Linked DNA regions of Caenorhabditis elegans. The protein of the gene in region 1 purifies or fractionates together with the protein of each later gene. This does not show direct contact. Each region holds a gene or a part of one and is shown on either strand. Other genes may lie near its edges.

The links.
Region 2: the proteins of gpcp-2 (region 1) and C12D5.9 fractionate together in Caenorhabditis elegans (co-fractionation; one large-scale study listed by BioGRID). This does not show direct contact.

What each region holds. Positions count from the first base shown.
Region 1 is NC_003280.10:8,063,311-8,081,864, reverse strand, and holds gpcp-2 (Putative glycerophosphocholine phosphodiesterase GPCPD1 homolog 2), read left to right. Parts: upstream 1-8,490; 5' UTR 8,491-8,492; coding exon 8,493-8,721; intron 8,722-11,176; coding exon 11,177-11,330; intron 11,331-11,383; coding exon 11,384-11,487; intron 11,488-11,533; coding exon 11,534-11,793; intron 11,794-11,844; coding exon 11,845-12,774; intron 12,775-12,822; coding exon 12,823-13,089; intron 13,090-13,137; coding exon 13,138-13,521; intron 13,522-13,569; coding exon 13,570-13,632; 3' UTR 13,633-13,889; downstream 13,890-18,554. Other genes in the region: usp28 (putative ubiquitin carboxyl-terminal hydrolase K02C4.3), read left to right, coding at 1-32, 545-643; K02C4.5 (FCH domain-containing protein), read right to left, coding at 1,100-1,279, 1,335-1,444, 1,488-1,887, 2,303-2,768, 2,825-2,890, 3,362-3,408; K02C4.2 (DUF19 domain-containing protein), read right to left, coding at 5,144-5,199, 5,447-5,653, 5,699-5,900, 5,945-6,085; pdha-1 (Pyruvate dehydrogenase E1 component subunit alpha), read right to left, coding at 14,060-14,143, 14,195-14,771, 14,851-15,420, 15,552-15,565; Ubiquitin conjugation factor E4 ufd-2, read right to left, coding at 15,922-16,305, 16,358-16,712, 16,761-17,670, 17,721-18,554.
Region 2 is NC_003283.11:7,683,355-7,698,249, reverse strand, and holds C12D5.9 (T20D4.11-like domain-containing protein), read left to right. Parts: upstream 1-8,261; 5' UTR 8,262-8,273; coding exon 8,274-8,510; intron 8,511-8,558; coding exon 8,559-8,732; intron 8,733-8,989; coding exon 8,990-9,307; intron 9,308-9,582; coding exon 9,583-9,894; 3' UTR 9,895-10,057; downstream 10,058-14,895. Other genes in the region: ZK105.3 (Glycosyltransferase), read right to left, coding at 7-113, 289-367, 415-500, 588-709, 759-873, 917-1,108; C12D5.10 (T20D4.11-like domain-containing protein), read left to right, coding at 4,762-4,983, 5,036-5,209, 5,433-5,789, 5,839-6,159; nhr-152 (Nuclear Hormone Receptor family), read right to left, coding at 10,091-10,353, 10,440-10,546, 10,593-10,799, 10,847-10,932, 10,991-11,271, 11,360-11,525, 11,703-11,744; nhr-94 (Nuclear Hormone Receptor family), read left to right, coding at 12,345-12,406, 12,461-12,594, 12,779-12,834, 12,880-13,542, 13,686-13,787; sre-11 (Serpentine Receptor, class E (Epsilon)), read left to right, coding at 14,293-14,399, 14,447-14,601.

The DNA.
Region 1 (18,554 bases):
ATGTACTTGATGGAGCTGTCGAATTGAGAGAGGTAACTGTTTTTTTTTTCAAACTTGTATGTCAAAATTTTGAATATTTTTGGTACTTTCGTATTATAACCAGAGGTGTGCGGCAATTGCCTATTGCCGAAAATTTTGAAAACCGGCAATTACCGATTGACGGAAAAGTAAATTTTACTGTCTTTGTAGACTTAAGAGCCTAAACATGAATTTTACTAAACAATTATCTCTTTTCAAGCTCAAAATGATTATTCCTTGAAGGATTAAACGTTTCCTGTCAGAAAATGACAAACCGAATATTAATAAACAAAGCGATATTTTTTCAATGTCCGAAACATATTTAGGTTGAAAATTGCCGAACATGCCCGGCAATCGGCAATTGCCGGATTGCCAATTGCCGCGCACCCCTGATTATAACCCCACATTTTTAAAATAAATTAAACTTTTTAATTAAAAAATCAAATATGTAGGGCTATAAATAATTCATAAGTACCGAATTTTTCTAATACTTATGGACTCTGCTTAATATCAAAAAAAATTTCAGCTCAAAAAATACTTCAAGGAGCTTCAACTAACGGATGTTAAAGTGAACAATATAATAACATCATATGATCCAATTATAGAAAGTTTAGTGAAAATTTAGAAAGGAACATTGCGGAAAGTAACACTACACAATTCCATGTTCTCAACCAATAGTATTGATTGAGGTATTGAAATGTGATTTTATTTTCTGTAATGTTAACTTTTACATTATTATTATGTTAAATTTAACCAATATTCAGCACTTCATTTGATTAGCATATTTTTTTCTTTCAAAACAAACATAGCCATTTTCTTTTTTTATTTACGTTTCCCCCGTTGAGTTTCTATCATTTTGCGGTTTAAACTGAGAGTTTCTCCTGTGAGAATTGTATCCATATTTAGCTCATTTGGAGGTTTCATTACGATTATATGTGCGTATTCTGGTATATCGTTAACTCTAATATTATCTTTTATATGTAAACTATCTTCTATTTTGAAGCATCATTCATTGCCACATCGGATATTCGAGAGTTTAAATGAAATTAAATATATCCATCATTTGTATTATTACACACAGTTAAAATCGATGGAGCACACCGTCAGGGGATTCAATTCGGACATATCGAGCATTCTCGACCGTTTTCGGATCATTAGTTACGTTATCCACTGCGAATGATGTTACATTCGAGGATGATGATGTTGAATAATTTGATGAATACGCAGAAGACGAGGAACGTTGTGATGATGGAATATCACTCTGAAATGTCATGAGAAATTAAACTAATTTTCTGAGGAATATTCTGAATACTTACCGTATGATAATAAGTACGTGGAGAAGGAATAGGAACTGTAGATTGATAACATTCAACTGATATAAATGTAGGTGTCACATCTTTTTCAGTTTTCGGTGGCGGAGTTGTATCTGAAAATCGAAATATTATATGAAATGTTTAATTATTATTTACCTGGTTGGATAAGCTTAGGCTTTTGAGCAATAGGAGGTCGAATATTGACATAATGACTTTTATTGATAAATGGACTATCATATACATTCACACTTGTCTCATTATTTTTAGTTTCTTGTGAAACATCAACATCTGTTCGAATTCTAATAACTGATGTATTTTTGGGTGAATCTATATGACGTAGTGAGTGCTCTTCAACAATTCCAATTCTATTATTTTTACTGTTAACATAAGGATTCGATGCTTTTTGTAGATCTTCATAGATCGGTGTTGCGTAGATTTGAGGTGGAGAGGAAATTGGTACTGGTGGTGGAATTGTTGATGGAGGATCAGGAACCGCTGAACGAATCGGTGGTCGAGGTGGTTTTAACTGAGTATCCGGTGCAACTGATGGACTTGCCTGGAATTGAAAACTATTATCGGATATTCACAGTCTCCAGAATCGCGTACTTTAAGGCGCACACATTCATTCGGATCAGTCTCACCACGATAATTTTTATGGTAGCTTTTTATCTAGAATTTGTGAACAAAATTCCTCGTTTTCATCGGTTTTACTTTTCGATGCGAGACCCATCCTAATGAATCCATGCTTTTTTGCACCTTTTCAAAAATTGAAATTCATTGGAATGAGATAAATTAAAACATGGAAGCATACTTTTCTGAAAATTCTCTTCATGCCTTCAATAAAAAGTGTTAAATTTGGGTAGTTTTAATAATTTAAAATTTTTCAAACTTATAAAACTTTTAGAAAGCCTCCTTATTTTTTGTTTCATTGTTTCAATCAATAATTTAAAAATAAATAAAATTCAACTAACTTGTAATTGTGCATGAGATCTAATAGCAGGTGGTGTCGGTGGAGTTGACTTAGATCCAGCTAGAACTCGTTCATCCTTCTCAATACATTCAAGAGAAGAACTTGTATTTTTTCGACTTGATCTCAATTCTGATTTTCTTTCAGGAAGTTTTGGAAACCATCTTCTCCCGCTGTTTTCTGTTTCTGAATGTTTTGTTGAGTTCAGATGCGAATGAATTGAATTGAAAAAATGTCGTCGTTTTGGTTTCTCAATTACAGTTCCATCTACAGCCATTTTTGTTCTCAATGATGATCTTGTCTCTCTCATTGCTTTATCCAAATCTACAGCCCCACATGAATAGACATTACACATTTTCCATAAGTTCAAATGTTCATTCTTCTTTGGATCCATATATTTTTTCAAGTTATTCGCCGTTCGACTGTGCACTTTTGCGATTTCTGATAATCTTTTTAGTGGGAGGTCTAGTCTAAAAACTGGTTTATTTTATTATTTGAAGAGATATCAGACAACCGTTCTTCTCACCTCGATTGTGAGAATGTGTCAATGATTGATTGCAGCTTTTGACCATAGTTGGCTTCTGCTTCAGCCCTGTAATTGATTGCAGTTCTAGACGATTGTAAGCTGGATTTAGTTGTAGATCCTATTTAAGCAGTGAGAAAACTCAAACTGGGTTTAGTTGGCAATTTTTTCAAAACTAAAACCAACCAAAATACGAGCAGCCAATGTTGAGAAATGGGGTGCCTCACTATTAGAGAAAATACGAAAATTGTGTTGTTCTCATTGTGATTTTCATATGAGTGCGTAGTACTGAAGGGTATAAAGACATTTTTTAGAACCAGAAAAAAATTTTCCTTTTTTTTCAGAAATCATTCGATCATTCATTCAATAGAAACATTTTTCAGGAATTCAGGAATCAGGAATATCTGACGTGGCAATTTTTTAATCTCGATATCATGGGAAATGTTTTGAAAATGAAAATGCGCATTAAAATATTGAAATTTTAATTCTAAAGCCCCCATTTCATCAATGCGAAAAATGTTTCAAAATCCTTAAACTTACAAATTGGCTGTAAATTCAAGCAATGCATAGTCGTAGCGAGTTGTCATTTGTTCCGGTTGATTACTGAAATAAATGGAATATTTTTGAAATTAAGTTTGAAATATTGAAAATATCGATGACGGATAGTGAGTGACACGGCTGAAATGTCAATTCTCTTGTGATAACAAAATGTGACGCTCGCTCAAACTCTCAAAAAATGAATGATAATCATTTTAAGAGGAAAGGGTGAAGCAAGAGAAAAAGCATTCCTCTTAAAGAGAGGAAAAGTATAAATCGATTGCTTATCATATCACACGGCCTCAATTCATTGTAGAAGAAGATGAGAGAAAAAGGATTCAAAGAGAGGGAACAACGAAAAAGGAGAAAATGATCGATGAGTGATCGTCAAAAAATCTAGGCGATTTGGGGGGACAAACTTTATGTTGGATACAAGAGATAAATGAAGTTAAGGAAAAAACGAGGGCACATGGAATTAAATGGATAGTGATAAGTTTTCATCCGGCCAGTAAATTCCCGTATTGCAACTTTGGTGAAGGTCGTCTAGGTAGGTGAAGGTAGTCAATCCTTTTCTTTTGATCAAAGAAATGTTTTTCAAAATTTTGGAAATTGGAGGTTGTAACAAACGGTGCAGTTTTTATTTCAAAAACACTGGGCATAAATGTTCATGTATAAATTGAAAAAAATCTCTCAATTTTATAGTTTAGACGGCAATAAACTCTACTAAATTTATCAAGTATACAGATGAACATTTACTTTTTTTTAATTTTCAGAGAAGAATTACATATTCATAACATCTGTTATAAAGTTTTGAATGTCTTGAAAATAAAGTTTACAATTTTCTGAACTTTTGGCGCTCTTACTATTAGAGCAAATATGTTTTTTAATGTCAAAAAATTGAGAAAAGAGAATAAGTAAAAATGATGATGTACCAAGAATGTGAAAGATCAGTGATTATTGATAAGGTGATTCAAGTAGTTTTTACTTTTCCCGATTCCTTAGAAGTGATTTTTTTCTGAAATTTCCAGTGATTTTTAATAAGTTCACAAGTTAAGTAATTAAGGAAAAAGACTTTAAAACAGTGGCAAATGTGTGAAAGCCAACATAATAAAAATTGTTAATTCAATTGATTGATCTTACTGGAAGTTCATAATATCAACCAATAATTCATAAAACAGCAATTCGAAAAAATGCCTCAAAAGTTTTATAGAAAATTTTTTTGGCGCTCGTTTCAATGCATTCTAAATCAAGAATAGTATATCCAAAACACATATGTATGTCATCGAGTTTAGTCATCGAAATGGATTTAACAATTATCATGCTTCTTATATGAAAATAATTGCTTATTTCTGGAAATCTCAAAATGAGCTCAACGCGCTGCGGCTCTCGAACAAAATAGCGGGAAACTGAAAGTGCAAATTAAAATAAAATTGAGTAAAGCATAGTCAAATAGAGTCGCCAGAATCTCCATTTCTCAATTCCGAATGACCTTTTCAATGGGAAAAAAGAGGAACGGAATGGGAAAATAGTACACGGAAGAGGGACGCCTGTGGCAGATGGCCTAACCCGATATAATGCTTCATGCACAGTCTCGACGTTTTTTTTGGTTCTTACGGACAGACTGAACCCCCATAACCTATTTCCCAGGTGTCAAAGAGAATATCATGGAATTATAATATTATGACAGTTTTATTTTTCTTTTAAACAAAGATCGTTAAGTGAATCTAAAATAAATCTATCTAAACAACAATAAATTAAGTATTTACATTCGTCATAGGGGTAATGTTATGAAGCTCTCGCTCGGATTGGTTCTTCTGTTTCACTTGACACGAATAGATGTGCTGAAAATTGATAATTATAAAAAATTATATAAAAAAAAGATATCAAAACATTTGAATATAAAATCTAGGTAGGGAAGACTGTGTTTATTCAAATTTGATTTGAAGAATAGCGGTAGACGGCAGTTCTCCAAAGTGACATGCGGTATGTTTTAATTATTTTAATTTAAAACAGAGTACATTAAAAGTTTAGCCTATATTTGAACACCTCAACTTACAGTGACTTCAAATTGATAAAACAAAAACTTACAAATACAAGCATACATCTGCTCAGATTTGCTGAAAAATCGTTGTTCCTCAGCACACAAATAGAAAGTTTTGAAAAATTCGTCTTCAGGTGGCAAGTAAAGATCACATTTCAACTTTCGAGTACATGCATTTCTACCAGGATACAGACATTCAAATACACATTCTCCTTGACGAGCGGCTTTTTTATTCATAAACTGCCTTGATTCATCTGGATTATATATATTTTTAAAGATGAAATGAAACACAATAATACCAAAATCTCCAATTTTGTCTTCAATCGTTGATATCATAATATCACGAAATTCATCCATTCCTCTTCGACTCAAAACATTTGATTTTTGGGATGTGCATCCTCTAAAACCATACATACTAGAGTACGAGCATTGCTTCATTCGGTTGAATTCGGGTACAAATTGTTTCATACAACCAACGAATCCACATGTAGGGAATATTTTCTGAAAATATAAATAAAATTTGGAATATGAGGACTAACACCTACTTCACATTTAGCAAGACATTTCTCAACTGGTTCCTTTCGTGCCGCTTTCAGGCATTTTTCATAAGGTTTACATAGACATTGTTTGATAGCTTCACAGTCAATTAGTGGAATTAAAAAAATCAAGACGATTAACATTCGCATCTTTGAAAATGGAATGACATGTTTACTGTCTAATTCGTGTCCTTATATCGTGCCTAATTGCAAAGTTCAAATCGACTGGGCGGGTGGTAGGTAGACAAAACAAAAAACAGGTCGTCTATCATCCCAGGTAAATGAAAAATGTTGAGGTGCCTCCTCCGAGTGACCAATTTTTAAAGTGGTTTTCACGGTAATTTAGCACCTCTGTACGGTATTGCGTGGTTAATGACAGCTGATTGGCAATGGCGGAGACACAAACAGCCAGTACTCACGCGGTGTTGATCTTTCGTTGCATGAGTGGCAGACGGCAGAGTTAGCCAATAGGCCATGGGTTCAACAACTAGATCGGTATAAATGTACGCTCATGTTAGCAATGTTTGGGGTACATGTAGTGTTTTACTTTTTTGCTGGCTAAATATATTATTACCCATGCTCGCAATTTTTTGTGCAATTTTGTGATTCTTGCTCCAAAAACACGGTATTTACCCGGTCTCGATACGACAATTTATGTTAACTACGATAAGGTATGTGCCTTCAAAGAGTACTGTAATTTTTAACTTTCGTTGTTGTGGAATTTTCATCGATATTTCAAAGTTTTTCCCACGATTTGTCAAAAATTTAACAATTTCATTTTAGTTATTAATAGTTATGAATAAGTAAATATTTTTTTAACAAGAAAAAAAATTCCGCAGCAACTAAAGTTTGAAACTACAGTACCCCTTAAATGCGCACATCCCTTTGTATTATAATATATATTTTTAAAAAGCGTATTAAGAGAGGGTACCGTATTTTTGGCGCAAAGATTTCAAAACTTATCGTCTGGGTAATAACCCATATTGGTATAGAATCGACCAAATGGCAAGTGTGTTTTCAGACACTTGTGTAAACCTTACATAATAATCCATTAACAATGGAAACTTCTTCGCTTTGAAATTAAGTGCGATTCTTTAAAACAACATTCCATCAATTTCCAGTAATCCGCATGAATTTTAAATCGAATCATTCCACATTGCTGATTGTTTTTCTGTGTTCAACCTTCAAAAATTAGAAATTCAAACTCGAAACATCCGTTAAAAACATAGATCGCATCGGTCAGAAAGTTATTTTGATTTTCCCACTGCGTACGTACCCATCAATATTCTTCCCAATTTTCGTCTCGATCAGCTGCCTGACATGATATATTTTTGATTTCAAAATATACTTTATATTTATAATCTGGTATCGTTTCCTAATATGTTCTACTTCCTTGTCTGATTGGTAAATGATGTAAAATGAAAATCAAGAAACTAAAATTTCAAACTTTCCCCTCGTTTTTTCTGTTCCCGATCATCAATGCAATAAAATCACACATTTTAACGAGTTCTCACCATTTTTCCACAGATAACATCATTTTGGTAGACTTTGGAACCATTTTGATCAAATTTCGAGGGAATTCTCAAGTGTTCGTGATTACGGTAAAAGAGGCAGAGTCCAAAAGACAGATGATAAATATGTTTTCAGGATAATTTTGACACGTGACTTGTTGATTGGTAGGCTATGGAAAATCAAAATATTTAAAAATGAATTGAAAGTATTATAATCAGTTGACAATGTAATGACACATATTATATTATCAGTTGAAATGTGATTAATTGTGATTATCAACATGGTTTACTGGAAACTCGGAAATGATGTCAAAAGTTAACAGAGGAGTAAATGAGGTTTTACTAACATGAATTCTCTACCTTTCCATCAAACAAAAATTTGAAAATCTATGAAAACTAGGACTAATAAGAAAGATGAAAGAAGACAATTTCAAGAAATGAAACAGTTGTTTCTTCGGGATATTCCAAACACAATAGGAGGCAAAATTACTTTGAAATATTTATAGACGAAGAAAATATTTCAAATATCGTTGAGTACATTTCGACAAAATCCATTATCCACATTCAAACTTTTTTTTATTGAGTCTCGCAAAAGATGCAAGAGCATCAAAAGGAAGCATTCATAAAATTAACAAATCTCATAGTTTCCAAAATGTTCAAAATACGGCACAACAGAATTTTTACCAAAGCAGTGAGGAATGCCCCAAACTCGGCGGTATTTTTCCAATTTGCTAATTCCAAATTGCTAATTTTTATAAAACGTTTCCCTAGACTGAGTTCTGAAACCCCTCAATTCTTGATATAATTTTTGTTGTAAAAGTACAGGTTGTACCCAAACACGTTGTTCCAATAAAATTGCAAAATCATGATATAACTAACAAAACGTACTTTCTCCTTTTTCTTCAATTTCAAAGAAACAAAGGCACCGCTCACCTAGAGCACGCCTTTTTCGCGCCTAACTCAATTGTATGTTATCAGTGAAAAAAGTTAACGATGCTCTCGATGCTTTCTGATAAGAAATTAAGAGACATTCAGCATTGTTTCTAATGCATTTCACCCGTCGCGCAGTTTCTCCAAGAGCTTCATTTGTTTTTGATCGCCACGTTGGAACCATCAACTCATCTTTGTCAAGACGTCCAAGAATATCAGAGTGTGTTGAGGAAGAAGAAGAAGACGGTGGTGGTTTTGATCTTTTTGAAGAAATGAGACAACCAATTCAGGAGAATATTCCAATGATTATTTTAGAAGAAGAAGAGGATGATAATGATAATCTTGGTGAGATTTTTTAAACTAATAGTTTTATCAAAATATTTCGGGATTACAACTTTATAAAATGATTGACTTTGAGACTTTTATCTGAAACTGTGTGCAATGTGACTTTTGTGTAAAGGCTCTGCCGAATCATGTGATCAAAAAGTTTTCTTCAAAAACGTTCTGTCATATAAAGGTTGTTAGAAAAGATTTTTCTAAGTTATATTAGTTTTCAGTGCACAATTAAAAAGCTAACTTTAAATAATTTCCATCTAAATGTGCACAAATTGGTCGAGTTTAAAAAGATGTGAGCAAAAAATTATTGGTATATCTTTTTGAAATTTTTGGTTTTACTTTATCTTCTATTAGGAGCTTTATATGTTTTTAAGGTTGTATTATATTTTTAGTTTTCAACTTTTTAATTATTTTTTAAAAAAATTATGTAACAATTTTTCCCGTGGCGATTCTCATCCGAAAAAAAATCAGTGCAAGTTTAATTGCGCTTTTCAAAACCTGGCGAAAGTTTGATAACTCCCTATTTCCTCTTCAAAAGTTTTAAATAATTTTTAGAAATATTTTTGATAAACTATACCAGCTGCAAAGAATATCTAGACTTCTGATACCTGCAAAAGAAACCCATAACATATTTAGAGTATTGAGATAGAGCACAAACTAATGTGTATTGTACCTAAGTTAATTCCATAATATACTCGAGAACATGTACTTTTTATTATTATTCAATGTTTTCATGTATGCCAATTTAAAGAAACACTGAATTGTCACGTAACTTTAGATTCTAGAAGTATAACATTTTGGTAAATAAGTAAACATTATAAAGTGGGAGATACCTCTACCTTTGATCCGAGATTTGTGTGAGTAAGTGGGTCAGTTTTCCTGATTGTTTGATTTATATCATTGTTTGCTCTTTCAAAAGGAACTGGACTAATGTAAACAAGTCCTAAAATTTAGATGATAGATGGATAGATGTAATCTTCTCGAATACGCCTTGTGCGCTGATAACAACTTTTTGAGTGTTTTATGATTCAAGATATAGAAATATAGATTTACAACAATTATATCTTCTGTCAGTTGTCTTCCTCATCACTTACAAATACTTTGAGTGCGATATGTCATATTTTTGGAGTGTAACACATGGAACCCGTCTCGTGTCATTTTACACATATATTCCCACGAGTGTCACATGATGACGTAGAATATCTGTGTCCCCTCGCAAGTCTCTTTTGGTCTTCGTTTTTGCCCCACGTCCACAGCTTTTCCTCTTTCTCTTTCATTTTTCGTGCAGTCTACGTATATTCGTTTTGCTCAGTGTCTAGCTCATAGTCGATATTCGTTCTATTTCATTCACTTTGGCTCCCTCAGACCCCAAAACTTTTCTTTTTGATTTTCTGAACTTTTTCATCGATTTTCGATTGTTGTTCATTTTCCTCCATTGAACATCTAAAAACCAGATTTTATAAAAGAATAAACAAAAACGAAAAAAAGAAGATATTTCGATTTCAAGTGAAGTGCATCCGCACGAGATATGCACTCAACTTCATGTCATAGAGAAGCTTCGATTGTATTTCCATCCGACTTTTGAACTTCCTAGCGTCATTTTTATTTCTCAATAGATAAGTATGAAAGTTGTATAGCGCTTATCTATATAGTTTTTCTCTTTGACAAGTTGTTTTATCGCATATTACTTCCGATTGACCAAAAACAAAAATTATTTTGCTTAAATGAATAACTTTGTAGGCTGTAGGCGGTGAAAAACCAAAGTCCCTAACTTATTTAAAGAAACTAGATAAAAAAGTTTCAAGATTCAAGAATTTATTCAAACTCTTTCGACCAACTTGATCTATCAACCTTTTAATCTTTCTCTCATTTTCCCCCTATCAATTAATTAAGAATTTATCATTTGGCGCACGTGCGATAAATAGTTCATTTCGGAAACCATTATTTTCTAATTTCGTGTTTACTCCCTCTAATGCGACGTTTTGCCACCGCCGCACTTTCGAAAGGTGAAATTTATCAATGAGATTCGAAAAAGAAAACAGGTTTTATCTAACTTTTGCTAATAAAGATTTGTTTCAATGTAGCGAGGTGGTTTTCATTTCCATAAAGTCAGGACGACTGTGAAATTCAACAATTTTCGACTGAATTGCCAAATTTTCATTTATTCCAGTCACAATCAAAAAAAGATAAGACGGGGTTTCCTAATTTTATGGTTTAGACTGCATGTTGGTTCTTTGCCCTTATAAAAATATGTATTATGTTGCCACTTTCTTTTTTTTTATTAAACATGTTTTTTTTGTAATATAAACTCGTAAGATTCAGTGCTTACGGAGGTTAGACACACTTTAATTTCTACCGTAACCCACTTTTCTCATCAGCACGAGATCTCGCGAGATTTCTTTTCTTTTTCAAGAGTAAATTCATGTTTAATACATTTTCAATTAAAAACTTAAATAATTTTCAGTGATGTCGGTGGCGCGACCCGTCCGCGTTCACTTTGCGGTCGACGTCGAAAACTTGCACGCGCATCAATCGGTGTACGTTGTCGGATCGAATGATGTGCTCGGAACTTGGGAAGCCACCCGGGCGATGCCGCTCGTCCAAGATCCTGATAGATTGTATGTTGATATTTATAGTTAATTAAAATGAAAAAAAAAACCAATTATATTAGCATGCGCTGGAAGGGTTCAATTGTGACTGATGTGCACCAGTTGAAATTCCGATATTTCATCGGATACAATTTAATGTCGGACCAAGGAGAGAGACTTATCGTTGGTGAGTAATTCTATCAATTTTACCTCAGAATTATTTCTGATTTCAGACAAATGGGAAGCTTTTCTACATCCTCGCTCTACTCTTTGTCTTGCTGAAAGCCGAAACGACGAATGCCGTGTTGATCGTGTTGATCTTTTTGGTTATTACGCAGGAAGGAAGTGTGTTTCTGATGGATGGCTCCAGTACCCTGATGAGAACCAAATTCTGCTACGGCTTCATGGTAATGCGCTGAAATTCTATAAAACAGCAAAAGAGCGGAAGAATTGTCGTGTTAAAATGACTCCTTTGGATGTTCGTTTCAAAGCGGTAAGTTTTTTATTCGGTTGTTTAAAGAAAACTCATTTTAAATTATTCTAGCCTCCAAGCGGACATATCAGCTTCAGCTACGGCGAAGATGAGGAAGATGAAGAAGAAGATCAAAATGTTCCATCAAATAAATGTACACATTCTGCTACTCATGTCGCTGTTCTTTCTGATCCTCGTCCAAAATTCTACGACCAAGAAGATACTGGTGTTACATTTAACAACAATAAGGATTATTTGGTGTTCCGAACACATTGTTTGGCTGCTGAATTTCTTGCATTTTACATTGAGATATTCTCGGAGGAAAGAAAACGAATCGGAGCTTGCTATGCTCTTCCATCTTCCCTTCAGGATGCGTCTGGTATCATTCATTTGCCTTTCATCAATTCTTCTGGGCGGCCAATTGGACAGGTTTCGATAGAATATCTCTGCGTTCGTGCTTTAACGCGTCTCGATGGACCACAGTTTATGGATCAGACATATTGCCGTCATTGGAAGAAAAGAAATGCCCTAGAAGTTGGGCACAGAGGCGCTGGAAATTCCTACACAAAATTTGCAATGGCCAGAGAAAATACGATTCATTCCTTGAATACTGCTGCCAAAAACGGTGCTGACTATGTAGAGTTTGATGTTCAATTGACAAAGGACAGAATCGCTGTAATCTATCATGACTTCCATGTGCTCGTTTCGGTAGCAAGAAGAGATGGACTTGCTATGCCACCACCAATGACTCGTGAACAATTGGACTCTTCCAACCTTGATTATCATGAACTACCAGTTAAAGATCTGAAACTTTCACAGTTGAAGCTTTTAATGCTTGATCACTTAAGCTTCCCACAGAAGAAAGAAAATGTAAAGAAGCTGGTCGAGGCTGGAGAAGAAGAAGAAGACTTCAAACCATTCCCAACTCTTCTAGAAGCTCTTACAAAAGTGGATCCTGATGTCGGATTTAATGTTGAAGTTAAATATCCAATGATGCAGAATGTACGTTTTCAGATTTCCAGAGTATGACAATTTAAACATTGTTTTCAGAACGGCGAACATGAGTGCGATCACTATTTCGAGCGGAATCTTTTCGTCGACGTTATCCTCGCAGATGTTATGAAACATGCTGGAAATCGAAGAATCATGTTCAGCAGCTTCGATCCAGATATTTGCTCCATGGTTGCCACGAAACAAAATAAATATCCAGTGCTGTTCCTCTGTGTTGGTGAAACTCAACGATATACTCCTTTCCAAGATCAAAGAACTAGTACTTCAATGACTGCTGTTAATTTTGCAGCTGGAGCTGATCTTCTGGTGAGTGTTTTTGTTCGATTTATTCTTTCAATTTAAAACTATTTTTAGGGAGTTAATTTCAATTCCGAAGATTTGCTGAAAGATCCAATGCCTGTGAAGAAGGCAAACGAGTTTGGCATGGTCACATTTGTCTGGGGAGAAGATCTCGACAAGAAAGAAAATATCAACTATTTCAAAAAGGAGCTTGGTGTCGATGGAGTTATTTATGATAGAATCGGAGAAGAGGAACGTCGTCGTAATGTATTCATCGTCGAAAGAGAACAAAAACGTGCTCTTCTCAGCTGCTCTGGTGCCAGCACTCCGCAACGAGCTGCATCACCATCTCCAGTTTCTTCTGAAAACAATAATACATCTCCTCCACACAGCGCCAAATTAACACGTAACGCACAATCTGATTCGGCTCTTTTGGAAGAAAATGAAGATGATGTAGAGGTAGGATATCCATAGTTGATTCGTGAAAAAAACGTTATTTTCTTTCAGCACTTATCTGACAAATTGAACATTACTGGTTTCCAATCGGCTCCCATGGTCTCTACTAAGTAGCCATGTCATACAAATTTTCCTTTTCGTGATATTATTAATTTTATTTGCATCTCTTAAAATATCATCCTAAGTTTAGTGTGCATTTTCATTCATTTCATTTTTCTATTATGAACGTAATTTTATTGCTTTTCTTGGACCTTTTTTATACCTGAAGTAACATTGAAATAAGTGGACGGAAAATTTAAAGGGGTTTTTTAAAAACTTCTCAATTTCCACTAGTTTTAAAGTTTGACCATGAATGATTAACGGTGAGAAAATGTGATTTATGCAATTGAAAATCGAGAAGAAAAGTGAACAACTAGAAACTAGAAATGAACTCATCGGAAGAAAACAGTCACCGAAACTATATAAAAGCACTAAAAACTTAATTTCGTAAGAATTATTATAAATTTTTGCCAGTCAATGTTGCATAGAAAATTCGTGTCGTTTAAGCTCTTCCAATAGACTTCAGTACATCAGCAGAAGTTTTGAATGGCTGGACGATAGTTTCATCAATAGTGGCTCCGCGAATCTGAAAATGTGAACAATAATTGACGAAAAAATAATGAATGTTATTACTTACCTCTTGAGCTGGGGTGTTGTGATAAATATCGGCGTAGAGAGCTTCTGGTGGGAGAACACCGTCTGATGTAGCAATCTTCAACGCTTCATCGACCTCTTTGCGAACTTCCTTGTCAATAGCCTTAAGTTCTTCCTCTGTGGCCAATGAAGATGTAATGATACGGTCCTTGAATCCAGTAATTGGGTCTCTTGTTTTACGAACTTCTTGAATCTCTTCACGGGTACGGTAGCTGGTTCCTGGGTCAGACATAGAGTGTCCATGGTATCTATAGGTGGCCATTTCCATCATAAGTGGTCCTTTACCACTGTCACAATATTCCTTAGCCCACTTGGTAGCCTCGCGAACAGCGAGAATGTCCATACCATCAACCCAGATTCCAGGAACATAGTCTCCTCTAGTATAATACTCGGTAGAAGCAGATGAACGTTCAGCAGTAGTTCCCATTCCGAATCCATTGTTTTCGCAAACGAACAGAACAGGAAGATCCCAAAGTTTAGCCATGTTAGTCGCCTCGAAAAGTTGTCCTTGATTAGCGGCACCATCACCATACAAAGTAACACATACATTCTTTTGTTCACTGAAAATAAAATAAAATATTTAGATGAAAAAATATGAGTTGTTCTCGTAAAAAAATACATCAAAATTTGTTAACATACCGGTATTTCATGGCCAATGCAACTCCAGCTCCAAGTGGCTGTTGTGCTCCAACAATTCCGTTTCCTCCATAGAAATTCTTTGTGTACATATGCATGGATCCTCCTTTTCCGTGAACATTTCCGGCAACTCTACCGGTCAATTCAGCAAGAACCTCGGTTACGGTAGCTCCAAGAAGCCAGGTCCATCCGTGACAACGGTAAGCAGTGATGACGGCATCTCCTTCTGTCATTGCAGCCTTCATTCCGACGGCACAAGCTTCTTGACCAGAGTAGAGATGACAGAAACCGCGGATTTTCTTCTCCTTGTACAAGTTTCCAGCAGCAGACTCCATGCGACGAATGACCTGCATGTCACGGTAGTACTTGAGAGCATCTTCTCTGTTCAAGGTGACAGAGGTGTTTGGTCCATTGTCAAGTTTATGAAGTTTGCATGGCTTTGTGTGGAATGATACTTCCGTGCTCGCAAGACGAACTTGCTGTGTGCGGATTCCACTGGCAGTCAAGGATTGAAGTTGTCTCGCGAATAAAGACATTGCCGTCGACCAAATACGTTCCAGATGTACCAAGCTACTGAAAGCAGTAAATATATTTCAAAAATAAAAATTAATCGGATTTGGGATGACTGGGAACGTATAAATATTATAAGTTATTGACATGTAACAAATCACAAAACAATACGACACCGTTCGTTATAAACCTACAGAAATTTAGTCATTCCAGGTTCAAGGCTAAAATCAGAATATGTGAAGAAATTCACAAAGAATAAAAATATAAGTATGCGGATCGGAGACCGCAATAGAAGCCAAAATTTAGAAAATAAGTAAATTAGTATAAATTTATTCACATTCAAGGCACTACTCGTGTTTTTTAGGTTTGATGAAAGAGGGCAAGAATACCAACTTTAAGGAATCCATGCAGAAAATGAAACCGAAACCGAAAGATTAGACCATTGAGAGACCAGAAAAACTTATAAAATGAAAGGAACGCGTGAAATTTACAGACATTTTGCACATGTGCAATGGTCAAGTACAATAAATACAAAATTGGGTAACAATAGAATATGATAGAAAATTATTTCTTTGAATTTCTTTTCTGGCAAATCCATTCCTGAATCTTTGCCTTCAACTCAGAATCGGGAGAAAGCTCATTGTGCGACAAGGGAGCACGATTAAACGGATTATTGGGTGTACTGAGAAGATGCCTCTCGATGACTGCACGATCCATCACGTGTCCTGATGGCAATTTGACAGGATCAACCATAATTGCATCCATAATAGGATCCTTGAACTCTTCTGGTACATCATCATACTCTTCTTCAAGCTCAGCTTTTGCCTCATACTCTTTTTTAACATCTTCGGCCAAATGTTCGAAACTTTCGAGTTGACTGAATCCAACAATACTATTCTTTCTCATGCATTCAATCGCATTATGGAAGAATTCAGGACTGTAGGTACGCTGAAAAATAATTAAAATAAATCTCTTTGAATAAACAAATGTGTTAACCAACCTCGTCGTATGCTATGTATTTAACAAATGCAGGCATATTCAGCTTTAAATAGATTGAGATCAGCAACGATACAAACTCCCGTGGTTCCCATCCATAACTTCTTGGATCCTTGACTTTCAACTCGGAGGCCTTGCTACCAATGAGTTGCGATAAATTGTGATTCAACATTGCAGCAAGTCTTTCGCCGAGAACCGGAGTACGGAAAGGTTCGGGTGAGTTTACGGTAATCGATAGTAGCAATTTAAGATTACTTTTGGCTGTTCCAAGCCATCCCTTCACTTTACGTTTTGCCTCCTCGTACACGCCGAGATCCTGATTACGGATTTCTTGATCTGTGTTGTCCCATTCGACTTTGCTGAAAATAAAATTTATATTTTTAAGTTATCATTCGAAATAGTCTTACTTCGCCATCTTTTTCTCAACATCATGGATACTCTTCAAACCAGACAAGCTCTCATCTATACACCATGTTGCATCGTTAATCACCATATTGACAAACCGAATGAACTCTGCTCCGCATTCTCTTGCCATGTCCATAAACTTTCCTTTGTAGAACATATCTTCCTCCATTTTTTCCAACATGTACTGGATATTTCCACGAACGTTAAACTTTTCATAAAAGTCACCATTGTCTTCGAAATCCGAGTAGAACTTTATCATGCACATCAATAAATTTTCTTGTGCCATTCGAAGTCTGACCACGTTGAACCATAATGGAGGTTGAATAGAAGACAGCACTCTCACCAGTTTGGAAACGAGAAATGGGCTTTTGATGTAGTGATATTGTGTGAAAAGGACCGTCAGACGGGAAATCCAATCCGCATTTCTCTCCATGAGCAGTTTCATTCCATTGGAAATAGCGAATATGTAAAAATCGAGAGCATCCTCTAGAAAATATTCTGGGAGCGCACAAAACATTTGTGATACTTCAGTTGGAAGTTGACTGTCGTCTCCGAGCAAATCCAAGTTATCACAAAGCAAATTCAAAATGAATTTCATCTGCTTATCGACAAAATCCATAGAAGATGCCATTAATGCAGGATCTTGAGCTTGTGTCTTAACACATAAAAGATGACGAGACATGAGCTTCCAGTGTTCAGTCTCATAGTTCAACTTCTTTTCCACCTCAGCTCTCTCGAATCCTGACACAGTATTTAGTTTTTCTTTGAGCGCATTGATCTTATGCTTGAGCTCCTTAAGGTGTCGAGAGTATTCACTTATTTGATTCATCAATGGAGGAATAACGAGCCTCTGTGCTGCAATTGTCAGGAAGAAGCAGACTGTAGAGAAATGATATTCATCTGGACGATCTGCTGGAAAAAGAAAACAAGTTAATTTTTTGAGAAAGAAAAATGAAACTTACCGAATTGGCTAGCAAAAGCGACTGCTCCTGATTCGTCCATTTTGAGACGAGTCTCCTTGGAAATATTTATAAGCGAACTCGGTAAAAACGGATAATCTACGATAATTTTGGACAAGTCGATTTTCTCGGAAAACATGTACATCACGGACAAAAAATTTGTCATATAATGATCACACAAGACATCTGAAGGATCATAATGTGAACGAGTGCGAATGTCATTGGTGCTTATGATGGTGGCAATCCATCTTAGAGTTTTGTTGCGACTTCCTTGATCCGAAGCAAGCGGAAGCATCAATTGATGAAGCATAGTTCGAATTGGATCCATTCTTTGGAAATACAGTTTCTGCTCAGTGTTGACTGATCCATCATATTTTCTTGCATCTTCTTCACAATCCACAAAAACTCGATGATTTGGACGCCTTGCTGATGATTCGAGGCCGTACGAAAAGAACGGTCCTAGGAAGGACATTAAACCAAACTCGCGTCCTTGTATTTTTTCGGACGGCGTTGGGAGAAAATCTTCTCGATTAACAAGTAGGTTACTCAGTGGGCGAGGTCCGTTTGAAGGGAGTCTGATACTGAGAAGCAAGTTCATCACACGAAGGATCTGACGAACAATTTCGTCCTTATTGTCTTCAAAGCGTTGACAAATAATTCCGCTCCGCAAAATCCCGAAAATTGGATTAAATGTTTCTGTAATAGCGTCTTCATCGCATTCATCTGTACTTGCAAGGTATTCAACCAATGTTCTTAGAAAAACATTTGACACCGTATCCTCCAGAAGTCTTTTTGTGAACACCAAACTAGCATGTTGGCTGCGAAGTTGGCTCTCCA
Region 2 (14,895 bases), on another chromosome or scaffold:
CCATACCTATAAATTGCGTCCACGTCCGGATCATGGCGCACTAAACCTTGTTGCACAGCTGCTCGTTTCATTTGATAACACAATACTTGTGAATCGTTCCCATTCGTGTGTTTCTAAACGTTTTTGAAATTTTTTCACTTTTTTGGAAATAATTGCTTTCAAGAAAACAAGTCATTTGGTTTTTTTGCAATATTAAAAAACAAATAAAAAAACACGCTGTGGAATTAATAATGCGAAGGTTCGTACAGGAATACATAAGTCTTCCTTTGTCTCTTAACTTTTTCCCACCTCAATATGTTCCAATGGAAACCCTCTTGGCCACATTTGATCCATTCCATAAAATCGGTAAGGATTGAAAAGTCGTTTTCTAGAAAACTGTTATGAAAGGCAATCACAATATTTGAAATTTCTTACAATATTCTTTCCTCACTTCTCATTTGAGGCCGATACCGAACTCCCGATATTGTGTCATCAAAGTCGAATTGCTTTAATCCTTGACCTGAAATCAAATGTTCCCATAGATCTTACATGCCATCATTAGCAGATATTTCATGGGACAAAAATTCTTGAAAAAATGTAAACTTAACATATGGTTTATTGTCATCATCCGTGTCATAAATCCATTCAGCTCCGTGAGAAATTGCATACAAATAGCCTATATTTTTTCGAGTGTATGATTTATAGGGGAGCAATGCAGATATGGAGAATGCTGTAAATATAAATTTGGCATTAAAAATTGAATTCAATGTTTAACTCACGCAACTGCTTCTGATATTCGACTGATAAGAAATGCACATTTTCCAATTTCCAATCCAATGGAGTTTTAGTATCTGCTACTACAACTAAGTTCCAGTCTGGAAATGAAGATAGTCTCTGAAAATGGTATCAGTTATTTGAAACCACTGAACCGGTTTACTTTAACATCTTCAGTTGGAGCACTGACACTTGTGACAACAATCCATTTATTTCCATTCTTTATTTCAACAACTGGTGATATTAGTTCTGTTCTTTTTACATTTGCAGATAGATCCGCTTTTCCCATTAGTGCAACATAGCAAAATGTCGTTGCGCAGGAAATAAACAGCAACGCCTTTATCGACCAATTCATCTGAAATTACTTTCGTGGAATAAACACTTGATACTTGTTTTAGAATCTATATAAAAGAAACAAAAGATAGAGTGAGATGAGACATTTGTCACAATAGACAAGTTCAGATGTCCGGCGATCGACTTGGCGTTTTTAAGAACATACAAAATGTTCATGGAAGTTACAACGTGGTGGTCTCTTTATATGACCAGCTAGCTGCTTTTGAACCCAGCTGCTTTGAGACCCCTATAACTCAATATGATGGATACCATTCTAATATTAAATTTCCCTGAGAAATTTAATGTGCTTGAATATTAATATTTAAAACATAATGAGACCATAATAATAAGTTTTCAAAAAAGGTTGAAATGTTTTTCTACGATATTTGGTCATATTGGTCTCATAGAAGTGAATTTCAACCATTTCTTCTTTCAAAGTTAGAAAAAATAAAGAGATAACCCTTTACAATGTGCAAACACTTAACACAACTCAGATAAACGCTTAGTCCTCTAATTAGATTTCAACCAAAAATTAGATTTCAACCAAATGGGGACATAATTAATAGGCTTCCTATTCTAATCCAATATGGATTTTCTAATCAAATATGGTTGAAATCCAATCCAATATAAAACAAATCTAATGAAATTGGTTTAAATCTAATCCAATACGGAACAAATCTAATCAAATATGGATTTCTAATCTAATATGGAACAAATCTAATGTAACATGGATTTTATAATAAAATATGGAGCAAATATAATCAAACATGAATTTCTAAACAAATATGAATTATGTCCCCATTATATTTGGTTGAAATCTAATTAGACGACTAAGCGTTTGTCTGAGAAGAGTTGACATCAAAATGCAAACAATTGGCCAAAACAGTCATGAGTCAGGCATCAAAAGCCCTAATAGTAAATAGTTTAATTCAATTAAAATATTAATTAAAGTAAAAGGATAAGATTTTTCTGCAACATTCGTGGTACATACATTTTGTAGGAAATAATTTTTCAGAATGCAATTTGTTGTCGATCAAAAAGTGTACTTTCTCCGTAGAATTTCATTATCACTTTTCTGGAGGAAAGTTATCAAGACACTATAAATGTTTATTTAGTTAACTCGTTGAATGAAACACAACTATAAAAATCGTTCAGTAAATCTAGGATGTTAATGAAAAGATATGAACCATTATTATAGATTCCACATTGATAAAAATCAGTTTATGCAAATCAAGACTATTTGGTTAACAGTAAATTTGCATGCAAATCATGCAAATCAAGACTATTTGGTTAACAGTAAATTTTTGAAATATTCATTTTTTAAAACAAAGTTATTTACAAGCGGTATAAAAGCGGTAAAACATTTTCCAGAAAGCCTGCAGTGTTTTGCAGTGCGTTCAGTGGTATTTTATATAAGTTAAACTAACAGTACACTTGGTGACTCTACAAGGATTTATTATAGACAACTAGTAACACTAATAGACAAGTAACGCAAGAACATAAAGTAAGAACATGAAGCGAGTAAAAAGTTAAGACTGATTCGATGAGCATCTCCTGTTGGGCGGTGTTGTACACGTGTCTTGTGGTCGTCGGTGTAGACGTGGAAAGGTCACCACGTGGCTGCTCGCGTCCGTCATCCTTTTGTGCATGCGGTAGTGGTTCACGTGTTTAATGGATTGACGTCCTTGTTCTTGGTTGCATGATGTAGTTCTCAGAGCAATGTGGATGTGGATTGTTCGTAGTAGTGATCTTCGCCAGTAGAGTTCAATTACAGTAATACTTATGCAATAATTATAGAATAATTATTAAGTCGTGAATAATGGAGATCCTGCTCCATGCTATTCGCGACATGCAGTTCTTCATTCTTAAAAGTGTGAATCGAATACAAACGATCCAAAAGTGTAAAATTTGGCCGTTATCTGTCGGGGGTCTAAAAATTTATATCATGTGGACTTTTCATGTATTTTTGGGAATCAAAAATGCCTGAATGATGTGTGTGAGTTGTAGAGCAGGTGTCACACATGTCCCGACATTTTTGGAGTCTGCCAGTTTTACGGCAAACACTCATTGACTACCTTCTCTTTGACTACCTTTTGCTCATTGACTACCTTAGATCATTGACTACCTTCAGTTGCTCATTGACTACCTTTATCTATTTTTTCAGAATTTTCAGTTTTTTTCGCTGAAAAATCAGAATTTTCAATAACATGTTACTTTTTGATGTCTAAGAAGGTCGTGCACTTTCTCATTTCCTGATATTCCGGAAAAAATAGAGATGAGATCTGATGTATAAATGCTCATTGACTACCTTCAAATGCTCTTTGACTACCTCTATCTAATAAAATTTTCCAAAATTTATTTTTTTGAAAACTGTTCAAAATTTGATCAGATATTGTAGAAAAGTGCAATTTTTGTCGTTTTTCTAGTTTGGATGTTCTGCACACTATTGCAGACGAAAACCTGAGGTATAGCAGAACCCCTAAGCTCAAAAAAACGCACTCACTTCGGATGCTGATATCTCCGTGGAAAAAAAATTTATGGCAAAGTGATTAACTACAAAGTTGTATATCTTAATCTAAAGTGCAACTTTGTAGTTGATTGTTTTTTCTCAAAAAATTTGTTGGATGAGATATGAACAGAAAAAGAAGAAGAAAATACAAGCATGAAGGTGCCAAACTTTACACAACTTTATCTCGACCAACAAATTTTTTGAGAAAAAACAATCAACTACAAAGTTGCACTTTAGATTAAGATATACAACTTTGTAGTTAATCACTTTGCCATAAATTTTTTTTCCACGGAGATATCAGCATCCGAAGTGAGTGCGTTTTTTTGAGCTTAGGGGTTCTACTATACCTCAGGTTTTCGTCTGCAATAGTGTGCAGAACATCCAAACTAGAAAAACGACAAAAATTGCACTTTTCTACAATATCTGATCAAATTTTGAAAAGTTTTCAAAAAAATAAATTTTGGAAAATTTTATTAGATAGAGGTAGTCAAAGAGCATTTGAAGGTAGTCAATGAGCATTTATACATCAGATCTCATCTCTATTTTTTCCGGAATATCAGGAAATGAGAAAGTGCACGACCTTCTTAGACATCAAAAAGTAACATGTTATTGAAAATTCTGATTTTTCAGCGAAATAAACTGAAAATTCTGAAAAATTAGATAAAGGTAGTCAATGAGCAATTGAAGGTAGTCAATGAGCCAAAAGGTAGTCAATGATCTGAGGTAGTCAATGAGCAAAGGTAGTCAATGAGCCGAAGGGTAGTCAATGAGCAAAAGGTAGTCAATGATCCGAAAGGTAGTCAATGAGCAAAGGCAGTCAATGAGCAAAAGGTAGTCAATGATCCGAAAGGTAGTCAATGAGCAAAGGTAGTCAAAGAAAAGATAGTCAATTAGTGTTTGCCCAGTTTTACTTACTACTAGATAGATCAAATTATAGATAAGTTCAGTGTCTAAATTTTTGAATTTTTTTTTGCTTAAGGGAAGGGAAATAATGTTATCAACCATAGTACAGCAGCTTTCCCACAACTCGTTGTAAAATTCTGGAAACATTTATTGGGAAGCTTGCCCGATTTGCCAAGTACACAAGTATTCAATAGATCAAAAATTAATCCATCAAAACTATTTAAAACCTGGTCCGATACGTTCACCACTCTTTTTTGTGTGAAATGCAACACTTTTCTCCTTTTATTATATTGTTACTTTTTGTTTCTGTCACTCCAGAAAGCAATGTTACTTTAAAAAACTGCACATTGCAAGACATTCAATCAGTTCAACAAAATTGTGAACCATTTGCAAATGAACTCAATTCATATAATGACGACTACGATGGAAAAATTCTACCAGATGATATTATTGGAAATATGACGGATTTGTGTAGCAGTGTAATTGTAATAATTGAATTTGTCCGATGGTTTTCCGATTTTAACTGTATATTTCCAGAAGTGTTATGGAGAGTATGAGTGCCAAGAATCTGCGAATTATAAAAAGAAATTTGAGCGGGAATGCGCCGAAATGAAAATTTCGAATGCCAGAGTTAAGGAGTGCATGCTAGAAATTTATGGCGCAATTTTCGAGGACACATACAACTGTACAAAGAACTTTGACTGGTTAGCAGTGAGTTTTTGAAAGTTTTGTTTAGATGGAACGAATTTAAATTCACAAACGATAAAACAATTTACGGCTATTTTCAATTTTGAAATTGTCAAATTTTCCAGCACACATGTTCCGACATCTTCCGAGTTTTCTAGCATTGCTGAAATGTCGGTCGTCGATAAATTATGGATGATTTTCTACCGAAATTACTTGCATTTTGGATTTTGAATTTGATAATTTTCAGAAAGATCCTGTAACCAAGCGAAATGCGTATCTTTCTGGAAAGGATTGTTTTATGGAAATTGTAACCAATGATTGTTCTAACAGTTCAGTTATGTATTTCTCTTCTCAATATGAACACTTTGTGGATCTAATCTCAATTAAACCTGATGGAGAACCTTGTGTTGGTCTGTACTATGAGCTAAACGAGCTTCGCTGCAATGAGCCAGTTTCTCAATTTTCTTTACAATTTGTTACTCTTTTTGCAAAACTTATGCCACCAATGGTGATGAATCAATCCGAAAGCGACGAAGCAAATGAATTTACGAATTTGCTGAAGCATGATGATTCAGACACCTCAAAGATTTGCATGTATGTACAGGTGCATTGTTTAAAACTTTTTGTAATCTAAACTCTAAAAACTTCTTCAGGACTGTCTGGTAGATTCCTGTACATTCTCCAAAAAGAAAGGGATCAGCGAATATTTAGACGTAGTCTGTGGCGAGTTGGAAAAAATGGACAATATAAATGAAAAATTTGTCGATTGCCTCGACTTTTTTCGAGACGATAATTCAACTTTAAGCAACTGTGTGAAAAATTACGAAACATCGAAAACTGTGGAAAATGCTCCAGTCGTATTGAAAAACTGCATTAAAAATGGAATCGAGGCTAAATGTGGAGCTGCTGCACTGGAGAATTTCGATAATAATTATGAATTTTATTTTACAAAAGGAATGTTGAAGAAACCTTGATCGTTATGAATCTTGGATGTAATTCCATTTTTTTGTTTAATGTGCAATTATGCCCCAGTTGACAGCTGATATGTACTTCCAGGAAGCACTTTTGTGCGGGAACCTGAATGATTTTCATTCAATCGACGTCTCTAAAAGAAAAACCACTCACAAGTAACATATCGTTTGAAATCTTTGATACAAAACATTGCAATAAGTGGCTCCAGCGACGGATATATTGCCACACTAGCTGCTGCAAGGCTCGCCAGTTTGCTAACATACACTTCGAAAAATGGCATGCTAAGCAACAAAAATTAAAAAAAAAAGGTCGTGTAAATTTAAAATGTGTCATCTAAAACAATAATTTGTGAAGACTTCTATGAATTTGATTTTAAAAAATTTGTTTTGGAAGATCACTATATATGTGGAGCACACTAAATACATCACGTTAAATAAACTACCGTTTACCTGAAATATTAGAGTTCTGAAAAACTGGCGATTCAATTCCATTGTCTTTGCACTCATATGAACTTGATTTTTCTTCAACGATGAATATAGGTTTGTTGCACAAAATATAATTGTTGAAAAGCAAATAATCTGAAAAAGAACAAATGTTTAACAAAGCTTTAATTCAATTGGTATTATTTACTTTTAGTATATTACAACTTACAATAATCACCGCACATCCAAGTGCGCATGTTGGTTTTGTGGTCAACGCACACAATTTCCAAAATGTTCCAAATTTTCTCCCCATTTTCCCCAATCGACCAGTACATTGGAGCAATAAAAGAGATCTTGGTAGAATCTTCATCATAACAAGCTCTCAGTTCTTCTCTATAAGTTATTAACTTTTATAAACAAACATATTTAAATGCTTACTCAATATATTCCTGTTTCTCTACGGTGTTGGCCATTCCAAAATAAACCAACAAATTCCATGCAAAGAAACAAATAAAACACGGAATAAATATCAGACTCAGTTTGAAACCTTCAATGCTAGGTAATGCGTCCGGCCTAATATATAGAAAACTCATTTTTATAAGAATATTTCAAAATACCTGCATATCGCGATATATATGTAGAAAAACTGAGCTGCGAGGAGAGATATTACAAGAGCATATGAACCGCAAAAAAGGCCTGGATAATTCGAAATGAGAAGTTTTGATATCTTTTCAAACGGTAATACTTTGTTTTCAGCTTTAAAGTTATATCAATTAACCTACATGTAATATTGTTTCCAATCCATTTATGATATTTCAAAGGGCTATCCATGTAGACAATAAATACTAGGCCTTTTATATGGATTACCTAAAGTTCTTTTATTAATTTTATTCCACAACCGGATGTGTTATTATTTCAATCCAGGCATACATCAACGAGTTTAAAGCAAATGTTGTCATAACATAACGATATGCTCCAAAGTGTTTTCCAGATTTTTTAACGAGCAAGTAAACAAAAAATGAGTTTGTGATCTGGGCGGCAAAAAATCCAATGTACTGAATTGTATGCAGCGGGCATTTTTTGTGTCTTTAAAATCAAAGGTTTTCTGTTTCTAGTTGGATAAAGACTATACTAGAGCAGGAAATGTAGGTGCTACCGGACTTTTGAATGAAACATGCTTCATTCAAAAGACAGTGTTGATAAATGGATAGATATGAATTTTGAGCTGCGAAATTTCAGAAGTGAGCTATCTGAGAGCTCAGAGAAGCTCGATTGCAAATGCCTTTCACTTTCGTAATTTCATAAAACGTTTGGGAGAGCTCTGAAAAGAACCCATTTTTTCCAGAAATCTGATATTTTGTTAAACAAAAGAATGAATTTTGCTTTTGAAGCACTTTAAAAGATCAGTTCTGAGCTTAAAATTCATACTTAACCATTTCTCAGTGTGCGCTTTCAAATGGAACATGCCTCGTTTACATGTCCAGTGGCACCTTCTCTAGTTAGATTCTTTTATTTGATAAAAAGTACTTTTCGTTCAAAAATTTATGACTCAGTACAGTTCATCATACAGTTTATATACTGCTTATAATACAAAGAACAACGTTTTTTCGATACCTATTAAATTTGGATTAAAATCGATTATTGCGACTAACTATAAATAAATCACATTTCATTCATTTTTTGCTCCCACTAAAATGCGGAAACCAACTCTTTTGGTATGTCTAGTAATGTCATATTTCAACTTTGTTGATTCTAAATCCAACCTATTGAATTCTCCCCTCAGAGTTTGTACACCAAAAGAGCAATTTGTGCTAGAAGGAAAATGCCTACGGTATGTGAACGATTTGATGTATCTAACAGAGGAATATCCACCAACTCAAATTACTGTGCCAATTGCCAAGAACATGAGTAGCGCATGTGAAAAAATTACTGTATGCTTTTGTTACTAAGACTTTTACACATTATCGTAACGATTTCAGAGTTGTTTTGCGGAAATTGAATGTGATGAAGCTCAGAGAAGCAAGGAAGTTTATGAGAGAAAATGCGAAAAAATAGAGTTCAATAACTACAAGATGCAAGAATGTATCCCAAAGTTTTATGAGACGGTCTATAACAAGTCACGCCATTGCACAGTCGAATTTGACTTTTTCTCGGTAATCATTATATATTGATAAGAAGTAGGGTTGTTATGAGGGGCCAAATTATTAGGACACTCCAGGAACTAATGTTCGAAACCTGATAGAAATATGAAATAATTAATAGTAGGAAAAAGTAGTATTTCCCTACTTGTATTTTCCGGATGCGTGACTACTCCATAATAACAATTTGTATGCCTTTTTTTATTTTTGTTTTCAAATGAATTTTGAAAGGATTGGCATTTATCAGATTAGCATAATGCGTCAACTTTTAGACGGATTTGAAAACTCGACGTGATGCATATATTAATGGAAAATCGTGTGTTGTGAGTATCGCCAACGAAAGAAGGTGTGATGAGAAAGCACTGGAATATTTGAACTCAAGTTATGACAAGTTTGTGGATATTATGAGCATCAAACCAGACGAGAAAAAATGTTCTTCATTACACGATGAAATGATATCAAAACAATGCCAACCTGTGCTCTTGAAATTGGGAAATGGTGTAGTTGGATCACTTGATAAGCTTATCAAAAATGCAAATGAGACGAAGCCTGCTGTTGAAAACAGACCGGATGTTTGTGATGAGTTGCAGGTAATTTTTGACTTATCTGATAGTGAATATTTTATCTTATATTCAAAGTATACCAGATTATTATGTTGTCATTGTCGTTTAACCAGATGAACTTTAACAGTATGAACTTTTATAGGTACGAGGTAGGCATAGGTAACACTTTTGTATGTGTGATTTTATAAAATCAAGAATTTGTTTTGGTATTCGAAATTTGTTTGGAATATCATAATAATTTTTAATTGAGTTTCTGAAGAAGCTTGTTGTTATTGTGCCTGAAGTTGAAAAAAACATTTCAGAATTGTCTTCAAAAAAGTTGTTTTTACACCCAGCATAACCAGACAAATGCCAATGCATACAAAGAAGGTTGTGAAAAGCTAACTCTTGTACCGTTCTCACTTTGCAAATTCCAAGTCATGATTAGTCCCACTTCGACAAGTTATAAGTGCGTCATCGACAGTTTACTTAATCCAAGTTCAACAATGCCTCGCAACAGTTTCTTGGAAGACAAGGAATGTATGAGAACTATGATGGGAGGAATATGTGGAGCTGCAATTTTGGAAAATTTTGACCGCGATTGGGAAGCATCTAAAACTGCGGATTTGTTTTGATAATAAAGTCCTGTCAATTGCCCATTTTTTTAATACTAAAAATCTAGAAAAAATTAAATTTGATTGTTTTCTAATTTTTTTCAAAAGCTTAAATAATCCCGCATAATGAATTCTCACATGTTTATCGGTTATGGATGAAATTAAAGTTCAATTGAATGTTTCATTAGATCTTTCTCAAAATTGCAATTCGAAAATCTTAACTAAAAATCATTTCATACATCAAACTCCTGCTGAATTCTTTTGGAAGAATTGACAACATTGGAGCAAGGAGACAAACATGAAGATCTTTCAGTAGTTTCTGCTGCTTTTCCAGAGTAGCAATAACTCCAATCAGATCTACATATCGAGTTGGGCCGCTGGAATTCAAACTTTGAAGACAGTAAACCAGCAACATTTCAGAGTAAAAACTTCGACCTTTTTCTAGTTTGTATTGAGCGTTGCTTGACAGATTGGGAATCGCTGAAAACTTGACAAAAAGTTTTTCTTTAATTTCTGACGTGAACTTCGATGTTTGGGGGTCAGGTCTCACTTGAAAATATTCTTACCTGGATTACAGATGAATATCATTTTGAGCAATAAGTATTCAATGTAGTGAACTCCAACTCTCATCAGAGCATAAAACACCATTGCAAATGTAGAATACTGGGGTTCACTTGAATTTTAATTGATTTTAATTATTTGCCAAAATTTGAACCTACGATTTTTTGGGTCGTTGAGTGCCATCCGGTTGGCGAAGATCTTCATATTTATTTTTCAATGTGTAATATGCAGAATGTAAATTTGAACAACCAACTACAACATGCCTCATCAAGATCAACTGGTCCTTTGTGTCAAGTTTTAGAAAAAATGGGAAGGTTTTCAAGAATTCGATTGATGTGAGCAAATTGAAAAATCTCCACTGTTTTCTGGAAAACTGCCTTTATTGACAAATTTCATATTTTTTAAATCGTACCTATGAGGTGAATAAGTTTTGAAATTATAATCCAAATTTGAGCTAGCAAAAATATGATTTGGGTGGTAAGGCCATCCAGGGAAAGGCTGAAAATCGGGGAAAAACTTCAAAATTATACTTGTTCACTGAATCTAACACAGTTACCCCAAATTTATTAGAAAGGCTCAGTTTGCTGGAGCAACGTAACAAATCTTCCAGTCCTCCAATTTCGGTCCAATTTGGGTTATAAGCCGATAGTCTGAATTGCTCAAGTTTGCAATCCAAATAGGTTAGCTCGTTAATCACATCTTTAATTTTCTCTTCTTTGGAGTTTTTTAAGCTTTGAGTCAAGTTTTTAGTTGTTCGAAAATTTAAAGCATTTGGGTTCATTCCAACTAAAAGACATTTTTTGAAGCGGCAAGCTCGACAACGAAGAAGTGGTTCAGCTGAAAATTGTAATTACGGATTGAGAATTTAATGAGAAATACAGAAAAGTATTTTCCGGTAAATTAAAATTTAAAAATTCAAACTAACTTCTCTTGTCTAAATCAAAACAGTCACTATTTATATAGCACCGTAGCTCAGATTTCAATAAATACATCCGACGGAAAAACGTTTTGCAGCCCTTACAAGTTGCCACGTCACAATGATGACCATGTGCCGGCCGATTACATATTTTACAGTTGAAGGGTGAAGGGAACTGAAATTATGAGCATTTTAAAATTATTGTAATAATCGGAGACAAACGAAAAAATTTTCAAGCATGTTATGAACGTCTTTAACTTTGACTTTAATGTTGGGAAATTATTTCTTAATATTATGTCTGAATGCCTGAACAAAAAACACGTTTTCACTTATCGGAAAAAAAACAACTTACTTTTAAAATAGAATTATTAGCAACCTGATGTAAAAAATCCATTGTACTGAAGAATACTACAATTTGCCAACTTAACTAAAAAATCATCTAGACGATCTAAGATGTTATCTAATTAATAGTGCATTACGTTCTACAACCGGCCATATGCCATATTTTGACCTTCATTGATCTGTGATGTCGTCGATGTCTCATTGGTAGAAACACATGTTTCTGAATTGCAGTGGAGCGCAGTTGTTGATTACCTTGTTGAACAGTCATTTGCGAAAACTTCCTAATCACTACCTCATCAGACATTCCATGAGTTGTTGAATTTGCCAATTATTGGATGCACAAAGTAGGTTTTAGTTTAGTTAGTTTCATTATTTCCAAAACAAAATATGACATTTATAAATAGTTCCACAATCTGATTGCAACAAACAGCCTAGTCACAGTTTATGAGAAATAAAACAAAACGCGTGGGTGTAGAAAACATTATGGTTTGTGATTCACTGTAGAGGGATCACATACCAAAAGGATTTAAATTCAGATTTGCCATTTTCGCGTTTTAATGTCAGTTCAACAATCAGAATATGTGAAAACTAGTCAAATAGTATACACAGTTTGGATTTCAGCCTTCAAATTTTTATTTATTCTAGGCATAACATGTTTTGCAAAATTTGTGAGGTGTCGTCTTCAGAGCTTCATTTTGGAATCGTTTCTTGCAGGTATCTGGTTTTGATGGTAGTAAAATTTGATACACAATTCTTTATTTGAAACAGATCGTGTGCGGCGTTTTTCCGAAGATATGTAAACTCTCCAAAGCAGCTGAAAAAATGCAATTGTGAAGCGGAGCGGGCTCCGTGCAGATATTGTAGGATGAAGATGTGTGTGAAAAATGGAATGATGATCACAAGTTAGTTTAAAAATTTTTTTTTCATCTATTGTAAAACTGTGATTTTGCACGATGATGCCAGACTATTCTTTTTAAAAACCCGTTTATTAAGATGCATTATTTTTCCATTATTCTAATTTAACTTTAATTTAAAAGTTCAAATATGGAGTATTGTTGAATGTATAGTCAATGACATAAATTTCAGAAGTTCAACAAAAACGCGACCACAATCTCCCGCGAGCTGGCAGAAATTTTATTGAGGTAGACACCTACTTGTTCAAATTTTTGTAAAAACAAATTTTTCAGACGGCACAAATTGCTCTTCGCAACAATGATCGAACTCTCAACGCACTGAGTAATTACCGAATTCTTGCCAAGGAAAGAGAAGTTGTTCATAAATCTTCGAGTTCGGAGCAGATTAACTATTTCGAGTATACCAGTATTGCAATTGTGGATTCTCGAATTTTATGGAAAAAGTTGGAGAAAACATTCCTAGAGTTGCAGGACCTTAATGATCTGGACAAGTTGAATTTATTCTCAAACTTTTATCCAAAGTGGACATTTTTTGAGTCGGCTATTTTTGCTGTTGAGAAAAAATCGGATGTTCACACATTTTTCGCGCCGAATGGAAAACCAGCAAAACAAATTTCGAAATTTTATAAAGACTGCATGATTGGGAAAAGTATGAAGGATATTGATGTTTATCGCATATTTGAACCGTATTGGAAGTCGTACTATGTCCACGTGGCATATCCATTGTTCGAATTGAAATTTGATCAAATGGAATTAATGGCTCTGCTTGCACTGATGTTATTGGATCCAGGATACACAAATATATCAGAAAAATGCTCTGAAATGTGTCATCGAATGAGAAAAGTTATTCAAAGAGAGTTGAGAGGATATTATTTGGAGAATAATAAACCTACAGATCGAATGTTGAAAGTTTTTGAGGCATTGCTTTTAATGGAGGTAAATCTTGAATTTATTTCTCGTTTACTTGATTTTGAAACTTCTTTTTTTATTCAAAAAATGTTAAAAGACTAAAAGATTATGTACGACTTTTGTCACAGTTCCGATAACTTAGCTAATTCTGAAAAAGAAATGTTTTTCAGAAAACAGATCGCTGGCTTCAAGAAGAAGTTCAAATGTGCGAGATGTACAATGTTCAAGCTGATGAAGAGTTCCGTCGAATGGTGTTGGTTCGGAAAATTTAAGTGTTTTTACTGAAAACTTCGCACATATTTTGGCTCTCTCACTGTTATTTTTAAATATGTACTATTTTTATTTTTTTTGACCATAAAAATGGCAATGATGTTTTGCAACAGAGAATACAATTTAAAAAAATCTTTGAACTCCACGGTTACAACGAAAGCGTGTCAGACTATTTATCGCTCAATTTTTAGTGTTTTTCTCATTAACTAATTCATAGATTTTGTTATCAGCTTATTCCTCAGAGATCCCACTTATTGCGGCTATTGTTCTGATTACCCTTATTTCCGTTTTTTATCTCTTTCATTTAATATTACGTATTTCAGATTTTGTATAGATAATATTGGTATTCGCTCAAATTTTTGTGTTGAGACAGCTCATAATTTCAGGCCTATTGAATACAATTTGTGTTTTTTTTTCACTTTGACTGATCTTTTTGACCAAGAAAAGCTTTGGATTCATACATTCAATTTTTCCGGAAAGATTAAGATTCATTTTTTTCTGTAAATAATGCTTCTTATTCACTACATCAACCTAACTCACTTTCAAAACCACACTGAATATTTTCCATATTTAAAAAATTATCTATATCTAGAATTTTTCTTATACATAATTGAGTAAGTATCAAAAATCGGTTCAAACAAAATTTAATATTAATTTTTAGTACCATCCAATTTTCCTTTTTCTTCTGGGTTATGCTATGTGCAAAACAGTTTCATTTCAATTTCACTATCTTGTTAGGTTATATTTATTGTATTCATATTATGGATAACATCGCAAATATCACCATGCGACTAGATATGTTCTTTGGAATAGACGGTAAGAAATGTTTAGGAGATATTTTTCAGTTGATGTTACGTATATTTATTTTCCTAGAAAGAAAACCAGACAAAAAACAACAGTTCAAACTAATTGTTTTTTAGGAAAATAAATTTTTGATTTTTAATCTAACCGATTCTCGACAAGCATTAAACAACTATTTTCAGTGAGAATACTCTCTAAATAAACGTAAAGGAAACCTCCAAGTACTTTTTTGATTTGCTGAAACTTTCAGTCAAAGTTTTGGTGAACTGGCAAATTTGGAAAATCTTCAGATTTTTTTAAAAACTTGAA